Linked DNA regions of Cricetulus griseus. The protein of the gene in region 1 purifies or fractionates together with the protein of each later gene. This does not show direct contact. Links are inferred from orthologs where the notes say so. Each region holds a gene or a part of one and is shown in the gene's direction. Other genes may lie near its edges. The genes, in order: Ppp6c, Ppp6r3, Ppp6r1, Arhgef2, serine/threonine-protein phosphatase 6 regulatory ankyrin repeat subunit B, Tiprl and Cct2.

The links.
Region 2: the proteins of Ppp6c (region 1) and Ppp6r3 purify together in Homo sapiens (affinity purification with mass spectrometry; 10 studies listed by BioGRID and IntAct, with this or other methods). This does not show direct contact. The link is inferred for Cricetulus griseus from reciprocal best matches to the Homo sapiens genes PPP6C and PPP6R3.
Region 3: the proteins of Ppp6c (region 1) and Ppp6r1 purify together in Homo sapiens (affinity purification with mass spectrometry; 11 studies listed by BioGRID and IntAct, with this or other methods). This does not show direct contact. The link is inferred for Cricetulus griseus from reciprocal best matches to the Homo sapiens genes PPP6C and PPP6R1.
Region 4: the proteins of Ppp6c (region 1) and Arhgef2 purify together in Homo sapiens (affinity purification with mass spectrometry; 4 studies listed by BioGRID and IntAct, with this or other methods). This does not show direct contact. The link is inferred for Cricetulus griseus from reciprocal best matches to the Homo sapiens genes PPP6C and ARHGEF2.
Region 5: the proteins of Ppp6c (region 1) and serine/threonine-protein phosphatase 6 regulatory ankyrin repeat subunit B purify together in Homo sapiens (affinity purification with mass spectrometry; 5 studies listed by BioGRID and IntAct, counting the BioPlex papers as one, with this or other methods). This does not show direct contact. The link is inferred for Cricetulus griseus from reciprocal best matches to the Homo sapiens genes PPP6C and ANKRD44.
Region 6: the proteins of Ppp6c (region 1) and Tiprl purify together in Homo sapiens (co-immunoprecipitation; 4 studies listed by BioGRID and IntAct, with this or other methods). This does not show direct contact. The link is inferred for Cricetulus griseus from reciprocal best matches to the Homo sapiens genes PPP6C and TIPRL.
Region 7: the proteins of Ppp6c (region 1) and Cct2 purify together in Homo sapiens (affinity purification with mass spectrometry; 4 studies listed by BioGRID and IntAct, with this or other methods). This does not show direct contact. The link is inferred for Cricetulus griseus from reciprocal best matches to the Homo sapiens genes PPP6C and CCT2.

The regions. Positions count from the first base shown.
Region 1 is NC_048599.1:150,486,031-150,490,170, reverse strand, and holds the start of Ppp6c (serine/threonine-protein phosphatase 6 catalytic subunit), read left to right. Parts: upstream 1-1,340; 5' UTR 1,341-1,459; coding exon 1,460-1,534; intron 1,535-4,140.
Region 2 is NC_048596.1:55,664,178-55,668,462, forward strand, and holds the start of Ppp6r3 (serine/threonine-protein phosphatase 6 regulatory subunit 3), read left to right. Parts: upstream 1-1,485; 5' UTR 1,486-1,606; intron 1,607-4,285.
Region 3 is NC_048602.1:23,283,754-23,287,088, reverse strand, and holds the end of Ppp6r1 (serine/threonine-protein phosphatase 6 regulatory subunit 1), read left to right. Parts: intron 1-540; coding exon 541-674; intron 675-764; coding exon 765-897; intron 898-1,024; coding exon 1,025-1,095; intron 1,096-1,218; coding exon 1,219-1,300; intron 1,301-1,734; coding exon 1,735-1,845; intron 1,846-1,934; coding exon 1,935-1,997; intron 1,998-2,077; coding exon 2,078-2,081; 3' UTR 2,082-2,835; downstream 2,836-3,335. UniProt on the Homo sapiens protein: Regulatory subunit of protein phosphatase 6 (PP6). May function as a scaffolding PP6 subunit. Involved in the PP6-mediated dephosphorylation of NFKBIE opposing its degradation in response to TNF-alpha.
Region 4 is NW_023276806.1:65,869,395-65,872,894, reverse strand, and holds part of Arhgef2 (rho guanine nucleotide exchange factor 2), read left to right. Parts: intron 1-131; coding exon 132-332; intron 333-659; coding exon 660-776; intron 777-883; coding exon 884-951; intron 952-1,087; coding exon 1,088-1,123; intron 1,124-1,314; coding exon 1,315-1,365; intron 1,366-1,553; coding exon 1,554-1,997; intron 1,998-2,951; coding exon 2,952-3,135; intron 3,136-3,500. UniProt on the Homo sapiens protein: Activates Rho-GTPases by promoting the exchange of GDP for GTP.
Region 5 is NC_048595.1:409,103,703-409,107,202, reverse strand, and holds part of serine/threonine-protein phosphatase 6 regulatory ankyrin repeat subunit B, read left to right. Parts: intron 1-830; coding exon 831-918; intron 919-2,067; coding exon 2,068-2,185; intron 2,186-3,500. UniProt on the Homo sapiens protein: Putative regulatory subunit of protein phosphatase 6 (PP6) that may be involved in the recognition of phosphoprotein substrates.
Region 6 is NC_048598.1:27,164,825-27,168,883, forward strand, and holds the start of Tiprl (TIP41-like protein), read left to right. Parts: upstream 1-1,259; 5' UTR 1,260-1,390; coding exon 1,391-1,494; intron 1,495-4,059. UniProt on the Homo sapiens protein: May be a allosteric regulator of serine/threonine-protein phosphatase 2A (PP2A). Isoform 1 inhibits catalytic activity of the PP2A(D) core complex in vitro. The PP2A(C):TIPRL complex does not show phosphatase activity.
Region 7 is NW_023276806.1:139,274,439-139,278,504, reverse strand, and holds the start of Cct2 (T-complex protein 1 subunit beta), read left to right. Parts: upstream 1-1,266; 5' UTR 1,267-1,419; coding exon 1,420-1,422; intron 1,423-2,020; coding exon 2,021-2,095; intron 2,096-2,202; coding exon 2,203-2,268; intron 2,269-3,844; coding exon 3,845-3,956; intron 3,957-4,066. UniProt on the Homo sapiens protein: Component of the chaperonin-containing T-complex (TRiC), a molecular chaperone complex that assists the folding of actin, tubulin and other proteins upon ATP hydrolysis.

The DNA.
Region 1 (4,140 bases):
AGGGTCTCCTGGTTGACAACTTGCTAACTTAGACCGAGCTATCCTAGAGCTCACAGTTATCCATTTGCCTCTCCAGGGCTGGGGTCAAATGTGTGCTCCACTATCGATGGCTGATTGGTTAATTCTTTTTCTAATTTTTTTTTTAAAGATTTATTTATTATGTATACAGTGTTCTGTCTGCATGTTTGCCTGCAGGCCAGAAGAGGGCACCAGATCTCATTATAGATGTTTGTGAGCCATCATGTGGTTGCTGGGAATTGAACTCAGGACCTCCAGTGCTCCTAACCTCTGAGCTATCTCTCCAGCCCCTGATTGGTAGAAAATTACAGGTTGGAAACAGAATATATATTCTTAAATTTTTATTATTTTATTTATTTTTGTCTTCAAGTGGGTTTGTGAATTACATCCATACAGTGCCCCAGAGACCAGAAGAGGGTGTCTGATCCCCTGGAACTGGGCTTACAGGATTTGTGAGCAGCCTTGTGGGTGCTGGTAATAAAACTTGGATCCTGGTCCGGAAGAGCAGCTAGTGCTCTTAGTCACTGAGCAATCTTTCCAGCCTCAAGGATAGAGATTTTCGTCTACTGTGGTCACTAAGCTCCTACAAGCTATCTGTACTTAATTACTGCTCAATATACAGTCGTCAAATGAACCAATGTTAAAGCTATATTAGATGTCAAGAACTGTTCTTAACACGAGGATACGACAAAAATCAAACAAAGTAAAAGCAACAAAAACTAAACCCTTCTTGCCGCCCCCTGGGACTCACACATTTAATCAAGTCAGTAGTCTGTTTTTTTAGTCTAGGCTCCACCTTTTTTGTTTCCTTTGATATTTGGGGGAAGTAACACGTGCAAATTTTGCACGCCCTTCGGTCTTACAAGAAAAGGAAAAACAGCGCGCCAGTATTTGTACAGAATTTAGCCTAAGAAATGCTTTAATATTTGTTTGTTTTCTTCCAAGCCAGAGAATTGGGTGTGTTAAATCTGTTCTACACATCTAGGCCGGGGTCTTCACTAGCCCTGGAAAGTCGGCAAGTTACCCTAACTTTAACTGAAAATGCTGAGTGCTAGGGAAAACCTACTTATTCACTTGGTAGTCTTCCCGCAGAAAAGCCTCATCTGATTTCCCTGACATGAAGGGTAGGAAAGGAAGAGCATTCGGATTCACGAAAACTACAAATCCCAGCATCCTCCGCGGCAGACAGCTACGGGTCCCAACAGGCTTTGTCAGCAGGACCCCCGGAGTTCGGCCTGAGAGGGCGCAGGGCGTGTCGAGGCGCGGAAGAGAAGCAACTCAGGTTTTGACGTCGCTGCGCAGACGCCACTCACGGGTCGGACGTGACGTAAGGAGAGTTCCGGCTTCGGCCTCCGCCGCTGCCTCCAGTACTACCGCTGCCGCCGCCGCCGCCGCTGCCGCCGCCGCCGCCCCGCCGCCACCGCGGCTTGTTCTGCCTAAGATGGCGCCGCTCGATCTGGACAAGTATGTGGAGATCGCGCGGCAGTGCAAGTACCTTCCCGAGAACGACCTGAAGGTGAGCCGGGCCGGAGCCCGTCCTGCTGGCGAGGCAAGCCCCTTCCGGCCGTGGGGCGTCCGCCGGCCGCCCTTCTCCCCCGGCCGGACCCCGACCGGGCACCCGGCCCTGGCGCGGCGGAGGGCGCTGCGCGGTGCGAGGCCACCGGGCCCGACGCGGCGAAACGCGGAGAACCAGCGGAGCCCGAGTTCCCCGAATGCTGGCGCGGCTCCCTGAGGGGGTCCCGGGCATGTGCGGTCCCCCGGCCCCCCCTGGCTCAGCCTCTTGGGCTCTGACACGCTCGGTCTGCCAGCGGGCAGGGCTCTCGCGATGGGGTCCTCCCGGCAGAGGGGACAGGAGCTGCTGACGGCCCCAGGACGCGGGTGTCCGCAGTGTGTTTAGGAAGCCGGTGGGCGGGATCGGTTGACAGTAGTAGGACATTGTCAGTCGCCTGAGCTTCACCACTCCCCCAAATTGCTCCCTAATTAGCAGTGCTAGTTTTCTTCTGATAATTCGGATGGGGATCCCATTTCTCAGCACGGTGCTGAGCTATTTAAGTGAACAAGCGGTCGCTTATCAAGAGTGCAAATGCTTTTATGACCTCTGAGCTGTTCCCCCATAACCCAAAGTGTCGTTTTCTTCGTTTCTCAAGGTCTCACCCAGCTCAAGTTAAGAGTGTTGAAAGAATGAATGTAAAGGAAGCAAGCCGTTGGTAAACCACTGTTTTCAAACGTATTTTGCTTCTGCTAAAGCTAGTGCTTAGGTCTCCATTGGTGTTTATACGATGGTTGCTAGTTTTATTCCATTACCTTTGATTTACTGTGTGGTAAATACATAAACGCTCTCGATCACTTGAATTCTTTTAGGCTGTTTTTGTAATCATTTTAAGTCATGGGCTTAAAACTTTTTTCAAGAAAAAAATCTTGCTGATGAATTATATTTCTCCTAGGCAAGATGTTGCTCTGTGTGCGTTTTCCTGTCTCATTTGATACATGAAGTTGATCAAACAATATGCAAAATGTTTAAGATCACGTGTGCTGTTTGTGTGAAAGTACCTAACTTGTACTTAAATATTGATTGTATGTGTTACGTGGTTGGTATTCACATGTTCAGCCACCTGCATCTTTCAGTCATTTGGCTCTTCTTTCTGCTTGGTAATTTTTTTAGTTTTGTTTTCTGTCTGAGATAGCATCTTAAGATAGGTCTTGCTGGGGCTGGAGAGATGTCTCCGCGGTTCAAAGCACTGGTTGGTCTTCCAGAGGACCTGAAAATTCTATTCCCAGCAAGGACATGGCGGTTAACTCCTGTTCAAGTGATGTGATGCCCTCTTCTGGCCTTTGCAGGCATCAAGGCACATACCTGTTTCACAGACATACATGCAGGCAAAAAGTCATACACAAAATAAAAGTAAATCTTAAAAAAAAAAAAAAAAGTTCATCGTGGCCTCCAACCCACTAAATACCTGAGGATGACCTTGAATTCTGATCCTTTTGCTCCCACTTATCAAAAGCTGCAACTTAAACTACCATGCCTGGCTGCTCTGTGCTTATTCTTTCTTTTTTTATAAATAAATAAGATTTAGTTTTAATTAGTGTTTGTGGAGGGAGGAAGAGTATGGGCACATGGTGCCTTTGGAGGTCATCCTGGAGCTGGAGTTACAGGCAGTTTGTGAGCCACCAGATGTAGGTGAATAAAACTGAACTCAGGTCCCTTATACAGTCTAAGTGCTGAGCCATCTCTCCAGTTCACACGCACACACAGGATTATGTAGCCCAAGCTTGCCTAGAACCCCTGGGTCTGCTTCTACTTTAATAGTGGTTTATTCTATTTTATTGTGGTATGAGGATTGAAATTAATTTTGAAAAGTTTTGTTATTTTTATTTATGTTTTTGTATGTATGCCTGTGTGAATTTATGTGTACCGGTGCTGGCAGAAGCAGAGAGCATCCTAACCCTGGAATTGGATTTATAGGTGGCATGAGCTAACTGATGTAGATGCTGGGGGTCAAATCTGAGTCTTCTACAAGAAAAGTAAACCTTTTGTTTTGTTTTTCCAGACAGGGTTTCTCTGTGGCTTTGCAGCCTGTCCTGGCACTCGCTCTTTAGACCAGGTTAGCTAGAACTCCCAGAGATCTGCCTGCCTCTGCCTCCCGAGTGCTGGGATTAAAGGCATACACCACCAACATCTGGAGAAAAGTAAACTTTTAACAGCTGAACCATTTCTCCTGTTGTATGCTTTTTAATTTTATTTATTTATTTTGTTTATCAAGACAGGGTTTCTCTGTGTAGCCCTGACTGTCCTGGAACTCCCTATAGACCAAGCTGGCCTTGAATTCAGAGATCTACCATGTATGTCTCTGTCAGGGTATGTGCACCTGAGTGCAGACACCCTCAGAGGCCAGAGGCATTAGATCTCTCTGGAGCTGCAGTTACAGGTAGTGGTAAGCAGCCTGACGTGGGTGCTGGGAATAGAACACAGGTCTTCTACAAAAGTAGTTAACCACTTTGTCGCTTCTTCAGCCCCACATGTACATGTCTCTTATAGACTTCCATACGGCCCCCCACTCCTCCCCACCCCCCCCACCAAAGTTTTTGGGTAACTATTGGGTAGAATTTTTTTCCCCTATC
Region 2 (4,285 bases), on another chromosome or scaffold:
CACTATGTGCTCTCTGAGTTTCAGTGAATCACTGGACTAGTCAGAACCACTGTGGTTACTACTGGGAGAGAGCACTGTCACTCCAGGCCTGTGTGACTCAGCCACCTCTGCTACCCAGTCTCCCTCCCATCATACCTTGGCCATTCCTGCCTTTGAAGCTCCAAAGTCCCACCCTGGGGTCTCTGTGAAACCCTGTCTCTCTCTGGCACCAACACTCTAGGGATCTGGAGCTCTGTCCTGTCTTATGACATACTACCTTCTCAGGAGAGTCTGTTCCTCAGTTTGATCATCTTGGTCAAATGGCAGGGATGCTGTTTCAAAAAAGGCTTTCAAGAGTGGGAAACTTTGCTGCCCTTGATGGCCAGCTGCAGTACCCCCAAACAGAATTCTGTCCTGTCCACTCTAAACAGGGCATGTTATTCATAGGGATATAAGGAGTTCTCTTAGTACCTTGCTGTGATAAAATATTCTGAAAAAAGCAATTTTAGGGAGAAAGGGTTCATTTTTGTCTCACAGTTCCAAGGTACAGGTCATTATGGCAGGGAAGTCAAGGTTCAGCCTGCTGGTCACAGCACATTCAGTCAGTTGGTATAGAGGAATGAATGCTTGTGGTCAGCTCAATTTCCCCAGGAGAACTGACAAGTGGGATTAACTATGACAGTGGGAAGTCGGGGATATTTCGGGAGGCTTGCAAGTGTGGATTCTGAAGTCCATGACTTCAGCTTGCGGCTCGACAAAAGTAAGGTACAATTGGTAGGACACTGGCATTTGGAAGAAATTCATGTGTAAATTCTCTGTGACAAAATTCATGACCTAGACCCTCTTCTAACAGTCCGTTATGCATTTGGGGGTTTTGATTCCATCTTTAGAGTTGTCCCTTTAGTCTGTAGCGGTTAATTTAAGCAGGTGTTGTTTTATAAAATTGTAGAGTGGAGAATGCGGGCATCGATCCCGCTACCTCTCACATGCTAAGCGAGCGCTCTACCATTTGAGCTAATTCCCCAATCATGAGCAGTTTCCGCCACAAGTCTTGTTGTGACTCACGTCATCACCGGTTTCCCTCGCGGCCGTTGCCCTACTGCCTGTTGTGCTACCTCATTGGCTCCCTCGTATCTAAAGCTACACAGCCGGGATTGGTTTGGCTCATTTGTTTTAAAATGCATTGACTACGCGAATTGGTGTTCCGAAGCGTCCGTCACACGAGGCACTGCTGTTGCTACGGCGTAGAGGGACCCAGCCCAAGCTTCTCCCAATTTCTGACTTGTTTCCCAGACCCCGGGGTCCTAGAGGTTCCGGATCCGTCAAGACCATGGGAAAAAGAATGCGCCTCTCGCATTTGACTGACAAGAACCGAGAGCCAATCGGAGTAGAGGCGAGGGAGCCGCTGGGAGGTCCAATAGGTTGTGGGGGGCGGGAGAGGCAGGCCAATTATCTTCGGGAAGGGGGCGGAGTCTTGCCCGTGATTGGCTGCCAGGCGTCCGGAGGGAGGGCGGGGGTAACTCAAGGCCTGCTTGATACGTCCGCCATTTTGGGCGCTTCGCTGATGGTGTCGGTGAGCCCTTTTCCCGCCTGAGCGTGACTAGCTGCGGGTCGTGGGCGCCTCCAGGTAACTCGGGGAAGGGAGCGCCGGCGCGGGGTGCGCGGGCCGCGCGGGGGCGGTCGACCGACGGGGGCGGTGGTCCGGTCCCGGCGGCGTGGGGAGGCAGCGTCCCGGCCCTTCTCCCCTCCCCCCCGGAATCGGCTGCTTTGGCGGCCCGGGAGGCGGCGTCCAGTCCTGGCCGGGACCGAGTCGCCTGCTCCTGTCAGCCCGGCCGCGCGTTGGCAGCGGGCCGAGCCGGCGGCGAACTTTGGACGCCGAGGTGACTCTCCGGGTTTGGCTAGGCGGGAGCCCGGGCGAGGCGAGGAGCTCAGCCAAGTCGGGGGTCCGGAACGAGCTCCTCTGCTCCCGCGCCAGGGCCTTCCCAGCGAGTTTTCGGGATCTCCCGGAGCTTGTCAACTCGTCGGGAGACCTTCGCGAAGGCCTTTGTTGCACTCTTGTCCTCCGAGGAACAAGTTTTGTGGGTTTCTGGGCATTCGCCGCAGAGTCATCGGGATACACAAAAACCAGTTCTGAGTCTCCCGGGGCCATTGCTGTGAATTCTCAGCTTCTGCCATAGGTTCTCTTAAACGCAAACCGGGGCACTCGAGACTCCTCGGTGTTTTGGAGCTGGGGTGAGGGCTTATCTTTGTGGCTCCAAGTACCTCCCTGTTAAGAAGCTCGGTTCACTGTTAACATGGAGGTTTTTTCCTTTCCATTCTCGTTGCCTTTTCTTAGAACTTGGACTTGAAGTTGTAGGTGGGACAGAATGAGTGTTCTGATTAGCTCCAAGCCTGGACTTCTTTAAGGCATGACCTACTGTCATTTTCCCCTACTTGATATAGTCTATTTAGTTTGGGTCAGGGCTTTGTTTATGTTTTGCTTCCCGGGGCGGGGAGGGGGGTCACTTAGACGTGTTTCCTTCCATCAGAGCGCTTGTTAATATGGATACTGTTTCACTTTCTTAAGTGAAGTTTGCTTTGGTTTTTGTCCTCAAGGTCATGTTGCAGATGGAGCAGCCAGTGAGAAAGTGACTTCAGATTTCCTACCGCTGAAATGTGCCTTGAAGTAGCAAGGTGCAAGATCCCGCTATCAGTGGTGGCTGAACTTTTTTTTGGGTCATTTGAAAATTGAATCTTGCTTTGACACTTTCTAGCCCTGTGACCTTGGGCAAATTAATTACCTTTGCTGCCCCTGTGACCCGGGAAAACAACTCTGTTCCATAAGTTTGTCCCAACAAATGTACAAGTTAGACCTGTAACTAACTGAGTATATATGTAAACAAGTTAACACAAAGCAGCTAGAACCATGCTTGGCACATGGAATCAGTTCAGTAGTGACCATAATTACCAAATTCAACTTGATCTTTTCATTTTATTCATTTTTGAGGCAGGGTATCACTGTGTGGCCAGAACATCTGCCTCATGGGATTAAAGTCATGCACCACTATACGTGACTGAATATTTATTGTTTGTTTGTTTGAGATGATAGGGTCTCCTGTAGCTTAAGATGTTCTTGACCTTTGTATTCAGCTAAGGATAGCCTTAAATTCGTGATCTTCCTTTATCTATCTCACAAACACTATGAGTAGAGGTATGCACCGACACACCTAGTTTAAAATTAAAATGTTTAGGTAAAAATAGGAAAGCCATGTGTTTAAGGATCAGGTGGGCTGAAAAAAAAAAACAAAACTGGAAGCGAAGTTGAAAATTCACTAAATTACCTACATGTACTGTAGCAACAGGTCATCACACTTGAGAGTGTTTTGTCTAAACCAATATTTATGTATAGAAAACACCCCCTGGAGCTTAAACAGCACCATTCCTCTGCTTTTAGGTACTGTTTCTGTGTGGTTGTCCCAAATCAATAATTTTGGTGATTTCCTGGTGTCACTTGCTTGTTACTGTCATTGAAAGACTGCAGTCTCGAGAGCTTCAGCAAAGGTGCAGGTTAAACATACCTAACATTTAAACACTATGAAACCTGATGACTTTTCAGCATCAAACTTTCAGATGGTGCAGCAGTTTGTTCTAGGAATGTAAAACTGGTAAAGTTTGTGCAAACACTCCAAAATCCGAAACTGAAATTGTAGTCTCAACCACTTTGGATAATGGGTGCTCAGTTCATAGCTTGGGGAGTAGAGTTGTGTGTGGGTGTTCTGGGACCTATTCTACACTTTACTGTTTGGCCAGGGAGTCTAGAACATTTAACAGTGTCTTTCACTCATTCAGTCATACCTGAAATCAGCCTTTTAATGTCTGCCCTGTGCCTTCTCCATGGTACTTGAAAATAGGCTTGTCTTCTTGGTGGTAGTTGCTTGTGACTTGGATTGACTTATGCAGTGGGGAAGAATGTTTTGATAAACTCCATCTTAAGTACACTGATTGCTTTAAAATACTTAAGCTTTTGTGTATAGTATATTGATCCCATCCCCAACTGTACTTAATCAAAAAACAACCACCTATAAACCACATAAACAAAAGGAGCTTGCTAGTTTTCATTAACTTAAGAGTAGTCTGTAGTTCAGAAAATAGATGGCACTGAAAGGAGGACTTCAGGTGGGGTTTGCTTATCTGCTTTAAGATGAAACTTTGTTGGTTTCCTCTAGAAAAATGTGCTGTTACAAACAAGCATGTCTTCCTTAGAACAGTTTTTGCCAGGGTTGATACTCAGTTTGCTTCTATGATCAACCTTGTAGTTGGTAGTTTA
Region 3 (3,335 bases), on another chromosome or scaffold:
TGAACTCACAGAGATCTGCCTGCCTCTGCCTCCCTCCCGAGTGCTGGGATTAAGCCTGGCTGATTTGTAACTCTCTGACTCATGTCCTTTTTGCCTACATTGCATCTTTCCTCACTACCTAGGTCTCTTTTCTAAATGTCACACTGTGCTCACGTTTGTACCGTTTACATACACACATGTGCTTTAGGAAGTAGGCTCTGCATAGGAGGGATAAGGTGTTTCCTGGCATTTATAGCTGGAGGAAAAAAGCAAAGTCAATCTTTTATTTGGAAAGGTCTGTGTGTATTTGACACTGGTAACAGCTGCGACTTGAGAGATGGTGCCTCATCTCTTGTGGTTGTGGCTGAGTCTTGTTCTGGAGTGACTCAGACTCCCCTTGTTTGCTGGCTTCTCCCTGCGGCATCTTCATTGCCTGGGTTCCCTGGACCTCCCTGGAGGCCTCTGTTGCCCATCATCTTGCGCTGTCCTGCTCTGTGGCTGGGGAAGTGGGTCAGTAGGCTGCCCCTAGGTGGCCTCCTAATGAGTTGGTGTCTGAGGCAGGAGTGGAGGAAGCACAGACAGCGAGGACGACGAGGATGAGGAGGAGGAAGAGGAAGAGGATGAGGGGGCTGCCCAGGCGGCCTGTGGAAGGGCCAGCCCTCCCTCCTTCCCCAGCCTAGGCCCTCAGCCTCCTGGTAAGTGTTTGGTGGCTTGTGCTCAGGTACACGGGGCGCGGCTGCCTTCTTGAAGCTCATCCTCTGTCCATGCTCTTTGACCTCTCACAGCCCCAAGTTGGACAGCCACCTTTGAACCAGTGCCTACGGATGCCCCAACAGGACCCTCAGTTTCCAAGAAGACAGACATGTCCTCTACCCAGATCCAGACCAGCTCTCCAGCCCACCGTGCCCCACAGCTCAGGTATGGATGGGCAGGGCAGGGCAGGCAGCTGTGACTGTCATCTGGGAGGGACTCCCACGCCCTGGTCCTCTCCTGAGCTTGGGTGTTGACCACAGCCACATGTTCAAGTTCCTGTCTTACCTTCTAGGTCTCAGGACCCCATACCCCCCTCAGCACCTCAGGAAGTCACAGACAGCAGCAAAGTAGCAGAGCCCTTGGGTGAGCCAAGCCGTCCCTTTCCCAGAAGGGCAAGGGCTCTGCCTCAGGCCCATGTGTGCTGTGAAGACAGCAGTAAGGCCATGTCTCAGCTTGCTGACATACGGCCCATCTCTCCTTCCACAGCCCCCTGCCAGGCCTTGGTTAGTGTTGCGGATGTCCAGGCCACTCTGCATGGGATGTGCTCTGACCCCAGCTCCTTGGACAGGTGACTGTTGGTGTCCATCTGAGCTGCTTGCTGGAGGAGGGGTAGGGGAAGCCCAGCCTCCTTGCTGAAGTGGCTGCTGCGCCCTTGTCCCTACTTGTCCTCAGCACCGGGCTCCACTTTGAGCTCCTTTGCCCCTAGAGCTGGCTGTTCCTTTTAGTGATGAAATGTTTTGGACAGTGGCAGGAGTGTGCGTGTTACCATAAGCGTACCCTGAAGGGGGTTGGCCACTGAGAGTCAGGTAGAAGGCTGAGGAGCCCCGGCTCTCCCGCCCCCATGCTCTCTCTGCCTTCAGTGTGCTCATAGGCTTCCCTGTTGTGAGGGCTCTGTGCCCCAGCCTTTTCTCACCTGAGGCCCATTCTGGAGAGACCACTGGCCTCAGCAGGCAGAGCCTGTCAGCAGGCATCTAACAGTAGTCAAACTGGTCTCTCCTACAGTGCAACCAGAGACCCCTCTACCTCTGTCCCAGCCTTTGAGGCCCAGAAGTCCCCCCAGACAGTGGAGGGGGAAAAGAACCCAGAACCTTTGGGGCTTCCCCAAAGCCAGAGGTGAGTTGGCCTCTCCAGGAGGTGTTGGATGGATGGGCAAGGATGGTGGGGCAGGAGGTAACCCCCAGTTCTCCTTTCTCCCCGAACAGTGCCCAGGCCCTTGAGACGCCCAATGGCTCTACCCCAGGAGGGCCCATTTCATCGGGTTCCCAGTGAGTGTGCCCCCAGCCTGGTGTGGGTGGGCAAGATGGGGTCACTGGACCTCCTCACACGTGTTTCCTTCTGTTTCTAGGTAGCTGCCTGGTGGCAGTGATGGCCAAATCCTCTGTCCTCCCCATGGAACCCCACCCCCCCCAGTGGGGCAGGATGGGTCCTTTGGTGGCCCTCTTGCCCATTTCCCCATATCCTGCATTCTCTCCTCTGGACTCCAAAGGAGGCTGGTGCCAGGGAGATGCCCTCACCCACCCCATTTGCACTGAGAAGAGAAACTATGGAGCTTTGTCTCCTAGAATAAAGATAGAGAGTCACATAGAGAGAGAGAGGAGAGAGAGAGAGGTATATTATATATTATATATATATATACATATATATATATATATTGAGGGAGGAGTAAGAAAGGAAGCCAGGACAATAGCTGGGTCAGCAGCTCTGAAGCACAGCCTCCCGGGAGTCGTCTGTCCAGCGGGGACCGGCGCTGGGCTTTGAGGCTGCTGACCCAGGCTCTGGTGCAGATGCTCACACCCGGCCTTTCACTCAGGACCACCTTGGGGTGTAACAGAGGGCGCTAGGCCCAGAGGGCCATGCGTTTGTTCAGACCTTGCACTTTGACCAGGCATCTGGCCCCTGGCCCTGGGGAGCGGGGCTTCCCTGGCAACATCCCTAGAGGGCCAGAACCGGGGATTCTGGGTGCCCAGTACCCTGAGGGTCCCAGCACTGCTGCCAAGTGGCCTTGTCCCAGCTCCTTCCCCCAGGCTGGCGTGAGTGTGCAAGTATGTGTGCAGGGTTTGTGTTTCATACTGCAAATATAAATAAAGGAAGACAGCTGAAGAATCCTGGTGTCAGACCTTGAGTTCTGGGACTCAGGGTTGGGTGAATCTGCTCTATATGGTCTAGAGAGAATGGCATTCTTTTGGAGGACACTGGTGAGTGTGTGAGAGTGTGTGTTTGTGAGTGTGTGTGGTGAGGAGTGCTTTTTTGTTTTGTTGTTGATTTTTTTTTGATACAGGGTTTCTCTGTGTGGCTTTAGAGCCTATCCTGGCACTCGCTCTGGAGACCAGGCTGGCCTCGAACTCCCAGAGATCCGCCTGCCTCTGCCTCCCGAGTGCTGGGATTAAACGCGTGCACCACCAACGCCCGGCTGAGGAATGCTTATTTTAAGTGTGTGTGTGGCAGGGGTGGGGGGTGAGGAGTGCTTATTATGCTCACCAGGTAGAACACGAGGAAAAGGGCAGCAGTCTTGTTGAGTTAGCGCTTTGGAATCCTCTCATCATGATGTGCACTGCCTTGGCCCTGTTTGGAGATACAGATCAGGGTAGGAGCTGTGTTGTCAA
Region 4 (3,500 bases), on another chromosome or scaffold:
GAATGCTCCAAGCCCAAAATTAGGTCCTTCCACTCTGCCTATGCTGACTCTCTCCCCTGGGCTGCCTGTCAACGGGCTCTTTGGGTCCTTGGGCCTTTCCGCCCACACCTAACCTATTCCTGTTCCTACAGTGGAGCTGCAGCAGAAGGACCGGGCGCTGGTAGAGCTGCTGCAGGAGAAGGTTGGGCTGTTTGCCGAGATGACCCACTTCCAGGCAGAAGAAGATGGTGTCAGTGGGATGCCCCTTCCCGCCCTGCCCAGGGGCCTTTTCCGTTCCGAGTCCCTTGAGTCCCCTCGAGGCGAACGGCTCTTGCGAGATGCCATCCGTGAAGGTGAGGGATCTCCTACGGAAGGGTCAAGACTGTTGACTCAGCCTCACATAATGAGGCCCTAGACCAGGGCCATGTCAACCCCACAACTCATAAAGGCCCTTGAGGGTTTGTCCTGGGACGAGATCTGACTTTGCTGTTGTTGGATGCATCTCCCTCTGGCAGGCTCTGCTCCTACCCCTTGGACATCTTTGATGTCCCTTGGATGCCACATGGCTGACTGAAACCCCAGTACCCAAATGTGGACTCCCTAAATACTTGAATGGTCTGTGTGTGTGTCTGGCGACTCCCACCCGTTTTGACTCCTGCCCCCTCCTCCTCTCCCTTCAGTGGAAGGCCTGAAAGACTTGCTGGTGGGGCCTGGTGCCGACCTGCTTTTGACACCCCGAGAACCAGCTTTACCTTTGGAATCTGACAGTGGTAACACCAGTCCTGGGGTCACTGCCAGTGAGTACGGGGCATGAAAGAAAGGAGGGAGTGGCTAAAGAGTGGTGTGGGGTTACAGGACCCTAAGGAAGTAAGTATACACTGCTCCGCCTCCTCTTCTGCAACAGATGGAGAGGCCAGAACCTTCAATGGCTCCATCGAGCTCTGCAGAGCAGACTCAGATTCCAGCCAAAAGGTGGGTTCCTGGGAGAGTCAGGGAGTGGCTAGAGAAAGGGCACAGCTGGCCTGTGGGTCTTCAGTGGAAAGCTGCTGGGAGCACCCCCCAGGTCTGTCTGTGCCTGCTAACTCCCCACCCTTGTCCATTTCTGCAGGATCGGAATGGAAATCAGTTGAGGTCACCCCAGGAGGTGAGATGGGAATTCTGTGGTAGATAAAGGAAAGTTCTGTCTGTCTGAGGAAGCCTAGCCCAGTTTGGGTGATTTAGGGGAGTGTGTACTGAAAGTATGTCTCTAGACATTATTTCCACACCCTCTTGACAACTTCTGGGCACTTATCCTAAGCTTGGGCACCACTGCATCCAACCTTTATCTGTCCTCAGGAGACGTTACAGCGATTGGTCAATCTCTATGGACTTTTACATGGCCTTCAGGTCAGTGAGCCAGAGCTGGAATGGGGGCTCCAAAGGGGGGGGGTGCCAGCCAGAGGTGTCCATGTAGGTGACATTCATCCCAACAGGCCTCAGTACGCCCCAGGCCAAACTTTCTGTGTTCCTGGGATTGAGAGAGAGGTAGGTGGAAATTGCTTCTGAAACACCTTTTGGCCTCATTCCATCCTCAGGCTGCTGTGGCCCAGCAGGACACTTTGATGGAAGCCCGATTCCCTGAGGGTCCTGAACGGTGGGAAAAGGTATCCCGAGCCAACTCTCGGGATGGTGAAACTGGCCGGGCAGCGGTTGCTCCTGTGGCTCCTGAGAAGCAGGCCACAGAGTTGTCACTGCTGCAGCGCCAACACACTCTGCTGCAGGATGAACTGCGACGCTGTCGTCGGCTGGCTGAAGAGCGGGCAGCTGAAGCTAGCAACCTGGAAGTCCGGCTTCGAGAGAGTGAGCAAGCTCGGGCCGTGCTGGAGCGGGAGGCTGAAGAGGCCCGCCGACAGCTGGCAGCCTTGGGTCAAAATGAGCCACTTCCAGCAGAGGCCCCCTGGGCTCGCCGGCCTCTGGACCCTCGGCGCCGCAGCCTTCCAGCAGGCGATGCTCTCTACTTGAGCTTCAATCCCCCTCAGGTAAGGCTGTCTGGAGTTCTGGAGTGTCTCTCAAGTGAAGCTAAGAGCTTGCAGAACCTGAAGGACACTTGGTTGTTGGGCATTTAACCCCAAGTGACAGCAGAGAACAGATTTGAATGACAGTACTAGTTGGGATATGGGTAAAATGTCTCAGTTGGTAAAATGTTTGCCATGTAACATGAGAACCTGAGTTCGATCCCCCAAACCTTTGTTCAAAGGCTGATGGTACATGCTCACAATCCCAGTGACGAGGAGGCAGAGACAGGTTCATCCTCTCCACTCTCTGGCTAACTAGCCTAGCCTCTTTGAGTAGCAGGCCTCTCCCATGAAACAAGGTGAATGATTCAGCCGGCCCGTAGTGGCGCAAGTCCCAGCACTCTGGAGGCAGAGGCAGGCGGATCTCTGTGAGTTCGAGACCAGCTTGGTCTACAAGAGCTAGTTCCACGACAGCCTCCAAAGCCACAGAGAAACCCTGTCTCAAAAAACTGCCTCCCAAAAAAGGGAGAAGAAAAAAAAAAGCAAGGTGGATGACTCTTAAGATAGAACTCTGGCTTCCTTATACACAAGTGCACACACATACAGACAAAAACATACTAGTTACCTTAAAGAAATTTAAGGTGTGGCAAAGTCCTCTGCAAATCTCCAGTACTTCCAACAAATACGCTCTGTTCTCCCAAGATTTGTGCCAGTAGACGATGTAAGGCAATGTGGGCATTATTATACCTGGAGTCCATGCGAAGGCTGAGGCTAGAGAACCAACTTGACCCAGTGGATATAGAGATGAGGGGATTATCAGTTGGTAGTAGATCTTCTGAAGGGGTGGGGATGCGGGTTATTGGTGACCCTCAAGAGACGAGGTGTGTTGGGGCCCCCCAGGGCCCGGTGTCCTTGCACACCAGTGCCTTCAGTCTCCACACTGCTCATCCGCTGCATTTGTGCTTTTGCTTTCCATAGCCCAGTCGAGGCCATGACCGCCTGGATATGCCTGTGACTGTTCGTTCCCTTCACCGACCCTTTGAAGATCGAGAGAGGCAGGAGCTTGGTAGCCCCGAGGAGCGGCTGCAGGACAGCAGTGACCCTGACACAGGCAGTGAGGAGGAAGGCAGTAGCCGATTGTCTCCACCCCACAGTCCACGAGGTGAGATTCTTGTGGGGTTGTGGGGTCTGGGTCCAAGCCCTTGGGCCTGTGGCTTCTGAGTGTACTTTTACATGACTCCTGAGGCCCAGTTACTCCGGGACAGCCTGGGCAGGCTCCCTGCTCTGTGTGACGACACGGGGGTAGTAGAAGTTTTATGTTGTTGTTGTTTGATTGTTGAGGGTTTTGGGGTTTGTTTTGTTTTTTTGTTTTTTGTGCATTGGTGTTTTGCCTGCATGTGTATCTGAGGTCAGATCCCTTGGAACTGGAGTTATAGACAGTTGTGAGCTGCCATGTAGGTGCTGGGAATTGAACCCAGATCCTCTGGAAGAGCAGTCAGTGCTTTCAACCCCTGAGCCATCTCTTCA
Region 5 (3,500 bases), on another chromosome or scaffold:
TCTCAGTCCTATGCCAATCTTTTCCTTTTAGGCATATGTTAAAGTCCCGGCAGATTTCAACATGGTAGCAGGCTTTTGTATAATTTTAAGAGCAACAGCAGCAATAAAATGTTACCTGGAACTCATATATATATATATATATATATATATATATATTATATATAATATAATATATGCAGAGAGAGAGAGAGAGAGAGAGAGAAGAGAAGAGAGAGAGAGAACAGACTGAATGCTATGGCTTACAAAATGTGGACAGTGTTCCTGTTGTTCATTTGAACGCTGCTGCTGAATGTGAGCTAATTCTAATATGTGTTGTTCCAAAACTGTGTGGAAATCAAATTATCATCCTTTTGTGACTGGAAAGAGGGGCCTTTATCAATCCAACATAACTACATTTGTGCCCTTCTCTCACTACGTCCAGAGCAAGGGAAGTCCAGTGTCCTTTATGGTATCCTTATTGTTCAGAGAGGAAGCCATGTCTGGAATGCTAAGGATATTTGTCTTCTTGTTCCCCGAGTGGAATTCCACAGTAGCTGTAAGGCTTCTCAAAGTGTCCATTCACTACACCAGAGGAAATGCCTTATTCTAGAGGAGGGGTTTATCATGCCGTGAGGCTTCTTTCCAGCACCCCTCACACTCACTTAGGCGCTTTGTTCTTCTAAAGGGGCATCTTTACTTCTGCACATGAGCCAGGCCACCTGGACTCTCTTGAACTGGAAACCAGGGCTACCTGTCAGCAGTGGTATGAAATCACTGATTTGAAGTCCACCTGAATTTCACTTTGGGGTGCTGGTTTTTAAAAAGAGAATGCCCATCATTTTGTTTTTCAGTTGTTAATGGTCACACGCTGTGTTTGAGACTACTACTCGAAATAGCAGACAACCCGGAGCTGGTTGATGTGAAAGATGCCAAGGGACAGTAAGTGTTTTCATGTTGGCCTCCGGCTGTTGTGTCAGTCACAAGAGCTGATTGGTTGGTTTGTGGAGTAGTGAAGAAGGCAGGCTGCTGAATTCTAGAATAGGAGGAGTACATCTCTGTGAAACTTATAGGTAAGGAGCCTAGAACAATGAAGGATCGCCCCAGGGCATATGTTTAAGTGAAGTATTCGGTGTGTGCTTATCTTGATGATCCTTTTTTTTTTTTTTTTTTTTTTTGAGGGGGTGGTTCAAGACAGGGTTTCTCTGTGTAGCTTTGGAGCCTGTCCTGGAACTCACTCTGTAGACCAGGCTGGCCTCTGAACTCACAGAGATCCGCCTGCCTCTGCCTCCCGAGTGCTGGGATTAAAGGTGTGCGCCACCAATGCCTGGCGATGTGTGCATATCTTAATGACAGCCAGCATCTTTTTACCTTGACTGTAGCCATGTTTCCTGATTTTTTAATATTTCTTATTTCTTCCCATCTTTGACTGACAAAGCTACCATTTCCCACTTTTTAATTAATAATGGCAAAAGGGCAGACCTCAAGAGTTTGTCTCTGTTTTGAAAAAAAAAAAAATCCTTCAGCTTGTATTCTCTCCTGAGTTTGTTTCTCTATCTGTTGGCCTGTTTTTCACCCAGGCTCTTCCTACAAATAGGAAGTACAGACGGAAAGACTGTAGTTTCTATCCCCAGGTGGACGGGGTTGAGTGAGTCAGAGCAGAGCCCTGTCTTTCTTCTTCTACACTAGTCAGCCTTATTTTCAAAGTGAGGAAGCTCTTTCCATGGAGGTAAGTCTTGAGCAAAGTTCGACACTGGTTGCTGTGAAGGTAGATTTGCTGTGACAGGAGCAGGGGTCTCTTCTGCGTGCACACATGTCCCAACCAGTTGGTACCTAGTGGTTGCCACACAGTTTTGAAAATGGTAGAATTAATATGACTACTTGAGATGAGACTGTCCCTTGCCTCGCCCTGGGCCTGTGTGTTATGCCGCCATTCCATGAGGCCCTTAGAACAGAAATAGATCTCTTGTTCTCCATGGCACAGAGTAGCAAATTAGATTACCAGAGACTATTAGGCACTTACTAAGAATAGAGAGAAAACTCTGCTCTCACTGGAAGTCCTTTTTAATCTTCCTATTTTTCTCTCCCTAGAACCCCACTGATGCTTGCAGTAGCATATGGACACATCGATGCCGTCTCGTTGTTACTTGAAAAGGAAGCAAATGTAGATGCTGTTGACATAGTGGGATGCACAGCTTTACATAGAGGGGTATGTACACCTTTCCCAGCTTTAGTCAAGTACCTACCTGCTCAATGAACTTGCTTTGTTTTTTTCCTACATGAGGTCTTAGGGGAAAAGATTTGTGTCATAATACAAGTCCGTTAGCTTCACAGTCAAAACGAAATTACAGAATTTTATACAACGATGCAATAAGGAAAGCTATAGTTAGGTCCTGCTTTAAGACTTTGTGTTAGATTATGATAATAGACACATGAATATCTACTGTTGGAGAAATTGGCTCACCTTTCTGATTACAAAATGCATATCACAAAATACTTACAAAATGTATTTTTAAGTGCAGGAAAAGAAAATCATCAGTAATCAGACCTCCTGGAGATAACCACATTTGACACATACATACACACATATACATATATACACACATATACACTACATATACACACAAAAATCATACACATACACATAAATATACACACATATATGCAAATATACACATATACACATACACACATGTGGTATATATTATTTATGATTTATTAAAGCTCACCTGATAGTCAGATAAGCAAACCAGCCAGCCACTAGCTCTTAACTCTACTTCAGACTGAAAGGGTGATCCAGCTACCTTCATAAATCCTCAAATTGCAATCCTAGACTGCTGCCTCTCCTCAATGTGGCTGGAGAATAAATCCTCACATGAGACCCTTTGGTTCTTCCTTTTTATATCTCCCTAATTTTGGGATGAAAGGCCAGTGATCCCAAGTGGTGAGATCACCTTTGTGTGAGCTGTTTCTCTTTAGGACTGAATCAATTTCATGTAAATCAGTGTGGCCTTGAACTAACAGAGATCCATCTGCTTGCCTCTTGAGTCCTGGGATTAAAGGTGTGTGCTACCTCCACCTCACTCTATGGCTAGCTAGTACGGCTACTGAGATTAAAGGTATGTATCACCATTGCCTGACCTCTATGGCTTGTGGCTAACTTTGCTTTCTGAACCCTCAGACAAGCTTTAATAAATCATAAATAATATATCACCACACCATATACACAAATACACACACAGATACACACACACACACACACACACACACACACATATATATGGTCATTCTAGTGTGTAGGTACCAAAATAAATTCAGTGATTACCTGGTTTTGAACAGTCATTCTATTTCTGTTGCTCTTTGTGACAAATGATGGCAATGTATGTATCCCATGGCCAATTCTTTATACATATCTGCTGGATTTTTTTTTTGAAGGGAAAAAATAAGCTAAATGGACAACAGTAGAAATCATAAAGTTGTTATGCAGAGGCAGCATAAACAGCCTAATAAGTGACAAGAAGAAT
Region 6 (4,059 bases), on another chromosome or scaffold:
GAATGTTGAAATGGAGGAGGGCTTGGTGATATAAACCTATAATCCCAACACCTGGGATGTAGCAAAGTTCAAGTTCATCCTTAGCTAAAATAGTGAAGGTCAGCCTAGTCTATCTGAGACTCTTCCAGAAAAACTGTTGGGATGGATATTATTACATGTAGTTTCCTCATTCACTTCCTCATTATGTCTTCTAACAGATCCAGATAATGTGAGGTTTTCAATGAAACGTTAGTGAAAGGGCCTCAGCCGCCTTGGGAAGTACTTCAGTAGCCAACTGCTGTAGGCCAGTGACGAAGGTGGACAACCATCCACAATTCAAAAGGAACTTCATTCCATGGGGACGCTGACACGCCCCACTTCCCACAGGCAATGTGAACGGAGTAACTGTAGTAGGAAGCAAAAACGGAATGACAACACAATGAATTAACCCAGAGACCCTGGGCAGGGAAATTGATGATGGGTCAGAAATACATACAGAAATACCCGAGGAGGAAAGGGGTTATTATTACACCTCTAACAAGTCAAGGCAGGAACTGAATCACGAACCATGGAGGGACGATGCTTAGTGGCTCCAGAGTCGATGAAACGTTTCGTGCAAGATGGGAAGGAATAAAAAGGGGCCACTGGAATTGAGATGGTTAACAGTTCTGAGAGATGCTCTAACATCTCTTTTTTGAGGCAGCCGAAGCCAAAAATAATCAGTAGTGTTTTGATCCAAAGATACACAGAGTTGCACTGCAGGCACAGACGGAGCCCAGGCTCCCAGCGTTGTTCCCACTACACCGGTGTGCAGGCAGAAAACGCCTTATTAAACCGTCAGAAGGATAACTGGGCGCTCCCTTCGCGATGCTGAGAACGGGACACAGGGCCTCGACGGCTCGCAAGGCAAGTGCGTGCTCTTCCACGGAGATGCCAGGCGGAGCCACCATCAGTCGCTGGCTCGAAGGCCACTGATATATTCTGTTTGGCTTGGGCCTTCTAAACGCTAGGGGCGTCGGGGATGTCCTCATTACCGCGACTCAAAAACGCACCACACTGCCGGGAGGCGTCTGTAGGGAGCAGGGAAAGCAGAGAAGCAGGGAGCTCGGGGTTCAGAGTGACGTCACCGGGAGACTTCCGGGTGCGCGCCCACGAGAACGCCCAGGCGTCCTAGGCCCCGCCCCTCAGCTTCCTCACGTAAGACGCGAGTCACGCAGAGCCCGTGGCTGGTCCCGGAAGCAAAACCAGTAAGGGACAGACGCGACGGCGGAAGGGCGGGCCCTCGGCGCGGCGGCAGGGGGCGGGGCCGGGATGGTAACGGACAAACCCGGGAGCCGCGTTTCGGAGAGGGCCGCTCTGTGACCGCTGCCGCCGGCACTTGCTCCGAGTGGTCCTGCGGTCCACCTCTGCCATGATGCTCCACGGCTTCCAGAGCAGCCACCAGGACTTCTCCTTCGGGCCTTGGAAGCTGACGGCGGCCAAGACCCACATCATGAAGTCTGCGGATGTGGAGAAGTGAGGCTGCGGGGCGGGGACCGGGACGGGGACGGGGTCGGGGTCGGGGACGGGGACGGGGACGGGGTCGGGGACGGGGTCGGGCCCGGCCGGGGATCGAGCGGGCTCGGTGCAGCTTCGCGCGGGTCTCGGAGCCGCAGGCTCTGCCCCTCTGAGGCGACCGTTGATTGACAACTTTAGTGAATGGTCCTGTCCCCGGCTCGCGACCTCTGCTTGCTGAAACTGTCGCTTCGCAGGCTTGAACTGAGCGCGGCCGTTTTGGTGGACTTTGCCCTCGCCCCTCCTGTCTGATACCCTTACCTAAGCCCGCGCGCCACCTTTCTGGGCGTGGATGACCCGTTTCCCTCGGGAGCAATGACAGAAATGGCATTTATGTTTAGCTTCTAGCCTGTGGGGATGTGTGGTGGTGGGCGCCTGAGATTCGGAACGTCACGAATCATTAAGTCCCCGGACTTCATAGTTTGTGAGACCGTTATGTTACTCCGTGACTGTTTAGGATGAAGTTGTATACTCGGAGCGATTTCAGTTTTCAATTTTTTTTTTAACTTTTAGCAAATGAGGTGCTGTGATAAGCACTTGAGATATGGAAGATGAAAGATAAAGTCCTGAGGAATTTCTAGTTTCCTGAGAGACCGTTATAATTATGTGGCTCTTTAGGATGAAGATGTATGTAGACGGGGCTATTTGTGTTGTGTGTGTGTGAGTCAGTGCATCAGAGCAGAATCTTTTTTGTTTCCTTCGAGGCAGGGCTTTTCTGTGTGTAGCTCTGGCTTTCCTGGAACTCTCTGTAGGCCCGGGGTGGCTTCGAACTCACTGAGATCAGCCTGCCTCTGCCTCCCAAACGCTGGGATTTAAAGGCGTGCGCCACCACCTGCCTGGCCTGGGCAGAATCTTGATCAAGTCTGGGTGGGTGTGTAAAGCCAGGAGTCAGCTCTGAGATGTTTGGGGATGCTTGAACTGTATCTTGACAAAATTGGTGTGTGTGTGTGTGGGGGCAGCCTGGCAGAGTGTGTTTGGAGAATTCTCTCTGGTGTCACTGGAGAGTAAATTCTCTGTTGTACTAAGGAGTTTGGATTTTATCTGATAGCCACCAGGTGTTATGGTTGGTCAGAAAGGTTTCTTGGAGGTGTGTTTAGAAGATGGATTGAAGGGCTGGGAGCTGGAAAGGAGGCCAGGAAGTGGCAAAGAGACAGTTGGAGAAGCTAAGATTAGGCGCCTACGTTTGATGGCCAATTGATGGATAGGATATGATAGCAGGATCCTATTTAGAGATTTAAAATGTATATATGCAAAAGAATCCCAGCACTGGGAAGACAGAGGCAAACAAATCTCTGAATTTGAGGCCAGCCTGGTCTGCAGAGTGAGTAGGACACCCAGGGCTATGCAGAGAAACCCTGCCTCCCCTACCCCCAAGGGGGAAAAAACAAACAAAAAAAAAATAGCTTTTTTCCCCCTTACAAAACTATTTTCAATTGAACATTCAGTATTCCTTTTTCACTATTAGAAGTAATTAGTATGTAATTGTACTTGGTTATTTTCTATAGCTATCCTTCATCAGAAAGTATAAATCTGGTCAAATTATTAGAAAGTTTGGTTCCTGTGGCCTCAGGGTGGAGTTTAATTGTCCTAGAGCCTTGTAAGCAAGTGTAGTGACTGTGGCCCTAGGGTGGAATGTAGATTCCTAGAGCCTTGTAAGTGTTGGTTTCTACCCTCCTTAGCTACTGTTGCTTCTTTTTATCACCAATTTTGAAATTGCTTAGAAGTTGAAAATTTTACCAGAAGAGTTGTTTTTTTCCCTTACAAGTGACAGGTCCTTCATTATCTTTTCTTCATAGCTATTATTGATATCGATGTCATATAAAAACACAGTGCATTAAGTCATCTCCTAGGTGATATTTAAACTCTGTCTCTCTCTCTGCCTCTCTCTCTCTCTCTTTAAACTGTTAATGGGCCTTTGACGACTCAGAAATGAGATAGATGTTTCTCATAAGGAGCAGTATTTCTTCGCTCTAAACCCTAATTTATTTGATCATATAGGCTTTTTTTAATTGATTTTAATATGTATACAGATTTTAATATGTACACAAAGACTTGTTTAATATGTCTAATTGGAAATAAATGCAAAACTGTTGGAAAGAGTATAAATGTGCATTGTTCTTTTCTTGACCTTATATAAGACTATATTGTTACATAATGGTTTTGTTTCCTGATGACATTTTCCTACATGTACATGATATATTCCAATCACATTCACACCTCTCATACTACACTTTTTTTTTTTTGTTTTTTTCGAGACAGGGTTTCACTGTGTAGCTTTGGAGCCTATCCTGGCACTTGCTCTGGAAACCAGGCTGCCCTCGAACTCACAGAGATCTGCGTGCCTCTGACTCCCGAGTGCTGGGATCAAAGGCGTGTGCCACCAATGCCCGGCTATACTACACTCTTATTCCCCTCTGATTTCTACTAATCTCTTTTTTATTCCCACCTTCTATTTTCTTTTAAGAATATATTTTTTTTTTTGAGACAGGGTTTGTTTCTTTTTTGAGACAGGGTCTCACTTGTAGA
Region 7 (4,066 bases), on another chromosome or scaffold:
TTGGAGACAGGGTTTCTCTGGAGCCTATCCTGGCACTCGCTCTGGAAACCAGGCTGGCCTTGAACTCACAGAGGTCCACCTGCCTCTGCCTCCCGAGTGCTTAGTGCTGGGATTAAGGGCATACGCCACCAAAGCCCGGCCAGTATTAAATTGTTAAAAAGAAGTTTGTGCCAGATAGTGGTGGCACACACTTTTAATCCCAGCACTCAGGAGGCAGAGGCAGTTAGATCTCTGAGACTAGCCTGGTTTACACAGCTAATTCCAAGACAACACAGAGAAATCCCGTCTTGAAAAACAAAACAAAACAAAAAACAAAAACAAAACAGGAAGTCAGCTCCCGAGAGCATCCCTTTGACCAGTATGCTACACCAGCCAGCAATGATTATAACTAGAAGGGTGGAAAACCCAATTTTTGGTAGAACTTAAAAGAAAAAAACGTACGTACGTGTGTGTGTGTGTGTGTGTGTGTGTGTGTGTGTGTGTGTGTGTGTGTGTGTGAGAGAGAGAGAGAGAGAGAGAGAGAGAGAGAGAACTGAACAAGGAGATTGTCAGACTATGGACACCCCAGCAGCAGCTTGCTACCCCAGGCTGCCCGAGCCACTGCCGGAGCCACTCCTGCCTCAAATGTGGCAACCGATGACAAACACCTGAAGTGTGGCATGAGGCAAGCACCCCCGGGCCCGCTGATTAGAAAAGCAGCTGTGAGTCATCCGGACACTGGGAACAGAAAGCGTTTTATCGGCAGACTCGTCACAAAGCCTCAGAAAGCTCTGTCAACCAGAGCAGCCTTTTCCAAGGCTATGCTTCTAACTAAGGAGCAGGTTAGTTCCCTACTAAGTTTTCTGGACCGCTCTCCAAAAAGCCAAAAAAACAAACAAAACAAACAAACAAAAACAAACAAAAGGCCAGCTAGGGGAATTCTGTGTAACATGGGCTTTATGCCCCAGAAAGAGAAGTAGTCTCCACGCAGGTAAATAATCCCCACAAAGGGAAAAAAAGATGAAAACTTGAGTGTTTGCTTCCAGGGAGAGTTAGTGAGGGAAATGATTAGCGTACAACACTTGAAACTGTACATCTGACCTTAAAAATACATGTAAGCAGGAACTCAGTTTCTGTGTCTCTTTGTTCTGGAGTTCTACTCTAAATGGGCCCGCCCTTAGCCCCTCCCCCATCTGCAGTGACTTCCGCCACTGGGCGTGGCGCGAGTCCAGTCCCCCCACCCCCCACCCCCGGCCTCCAGAGGCTACGCTTCCGGCACAGCCCACTACGCAGGAGGGAGGCGGTCGCACGGGCGGAAACCTGCGCGGTCGGTTCCGCCCCCCTCGGTAGAGTGTGTCGTCACTTCCGCCTTCCTTTCCCCTGCCGTCTTCCCGGCGCGGCTTGTGAGGGATTATCCTCTGCGCTGAGTTCGTCGGAACCATGGTGAGCTTAGCTTTCGGGCCACGACCTCCGCTCCTGCCCGGGTGCCGCTGTGTCCCGCTTCCCCGCCGCTCTCTTTTATCTAACGGGAGACACAGGCCCCCTGAGGCCGTCTCCCGGGCCGGCCGGTCGCACATGGCCGGGCGTGAGGCCTGCGTGGGATCCGCAGACCGAACTCTCTACGGGGGGCGCGAAGGGAGAGTGCACCCCAAGCCAGCATCTCTGTCTCAGATCAACTATCTTCGTGGTTAGGGGACCCCGATGACCCCCGGGACTCACCCCAAACGAAGAAGTTTCTAGTACTCTTGTCAGCCCCGCCCTCCTCGGGGCGGGGCCTGACGGGCGGGTGGCTGTGCAGGCCTGTGGAAGATGGAGGGTCCCTGGTGGTTGGGACCACTGTGCCTCCGACGCCGCTTGCCTCCCCCTTAGTGTTGCCTTTAGTTTAGCCCTACATACCAGCCGGTTGATTGGTTCCTGGCGCCCACCAGTAAGTCCCTCTCGCCATTTAAATAAACTCCCACTCCCATGACGGACTCCCGACATGTGTTAATTTCAAGAGTACTGGCATTCAAACGGAGTATCTTGGTTTCCCTTTCTTTAGGCGTCCCTTTCCCTGGCACCTGTGAATATCTTCAAGGCTGGAGCTGATGAAGAGAGAGCCGAAACAGCTCGCCTGGTAAGCCCGTTCATTCCGCCTCTTTTAAATGACAAGATTGTACTTTTCTCTCTTCTGGTAAGTTTTGACCGCCTTTTCTGATTTCTTTTTTTCTCTTTTAATTTAAGTCATCCTTTATTGGTGCCATCGCCATTGGAGACTTGGTGAAGAGCACTTTGGGGCCCAAGGGCATGGTAAGAAAAATTATGTTTTGCAAGCTAAAACATTAAATTATAAAAAATTATCCTCCTGTATCCCCATCCCCAATCGAACATTACTCTCCACTGGCAGCAAGTGTTACCATTTATATGCAAAACCTGGTAGTATTTTTAAGTTTATCATAGATTTTCATAATGCATTTCTAAGATAACACTTTTATGTGTATGTGCTATTGGTGTCTACTTGGTTTTTTGGTGTCCTCTTCTAAGCTTCTGTCAGTTTTGCTACCTCTTTTGACATGCTTATTATTTTTATAGCCTTACTGTCCTTCCACCCACAATCAATCTCTTAAAGTGTTCTCTCTTCTGCTCCAGCCCTCTGCCTCTCAGATTTGTACAAACCTTTCCATCATTAACACTTCCAAAATACATAGACACTTCCTAAGAAGGACCTTTGCCCCTGTTGCTTACTCCTCTCTAGAACTCTGTAGAATGCCCTCTTTCACAGCCCTTCTGCTCATCACTAAATCTTACAAGCTCCGGGATCTGCTCTCACAATCTATTGATCCCCTCTTACCATCTGTTCCCACCACTATTCCCCTCAACTCCTAACTTACAAAGGACTCTACTGTCACTTCCATCGCCTCAGATTTTATCTCCAAATTTCTCTTTATCAAAAACTCATCACTGACATTCCTTACCCGTCATTCCCTCAATCCCTCCATACTTACCCTTTTCCTTAGCATTCTCCTTTCTGCCCCAGATCCTCTACACTCCTGTCAAAAAACTCTCCAAGACCTCTTTCCCCATCCTTCTCATACACAAGAGGGTCCTCCAGCTCCTTCCTGTCTGACCCCTCCATTGTTAATAACTCATCCTCACCCTTAGGCTCCTGTTCTCTCATGATCACCTGTTCCACACAAATCTCATCTCTTCTCAGACGCCTATGTTTCCTCTGCCCAAATGATTGCCAAATGCCTACTACTGCTTCATTCCACTAAAGTCATTAACTGTCCATATGTCCTTCGATATCATAAACACTCTGAACAAACCCCACACTTCCAATTTCAAGACATAACTAAACCCAAGCCATCTCCTCTCTGGCACACATGGCCAAGCCCTGACTTGGGTCAAGGTCACCCAGCAAACTTTCAACTTCCCTGATACCTCCTCCTTCAGTGCCTCCCACTGCTTTCTTTGACCCTGTCTTCAGCACTCTGTTTTTGTTGAACTCCCTCTTGTGGATTTTTACCAATTTTTTTAAATTGATCTTTTAACTAGCATAAGGAGGGTTCCATTGTGATGATTTTTAAAAATACGTTATTTTTCTTTAACCACAATACAGTATTCTGGGGTTTGCTTTTAACTTTGTTCATGGACATTTGCTTCCATTGTTGTCTGTCATGGTGCTGTAGCAGAGCTAGTTTGTGTTACCTGTACCTCCAAGTTTTTGAGGGTTGGTTGTCGGATACATGCATTGAAATGTTTGGTGGTCAGGTAACCACCCAGAGTGTTGGTGTGTCAGCAATGGAAAGCTGAGTGCAGTTACTGACTCCAGGTTTCTTCAAGAAGTACTTACTCCTCAATTTGACACAAACCAATTTCTCTTAAGGACAAAATTCTTCTAAGCAGTGGACGAGATGCCTCTCTAATGGTAACCAATGATGGTGCCACCATTCTAAAAAACATTGGTGTTGACAACCCAGCAGCTAAAGTTTTAGTTGGTGAGTCTGCATATCTATTTGTTAATAATTTTACAACTATTTAAATGATAGCCGTCATTAGCCATTGTTGAAATGAATTTCAGAAGTATCATTATTATCCATTTGGGGCT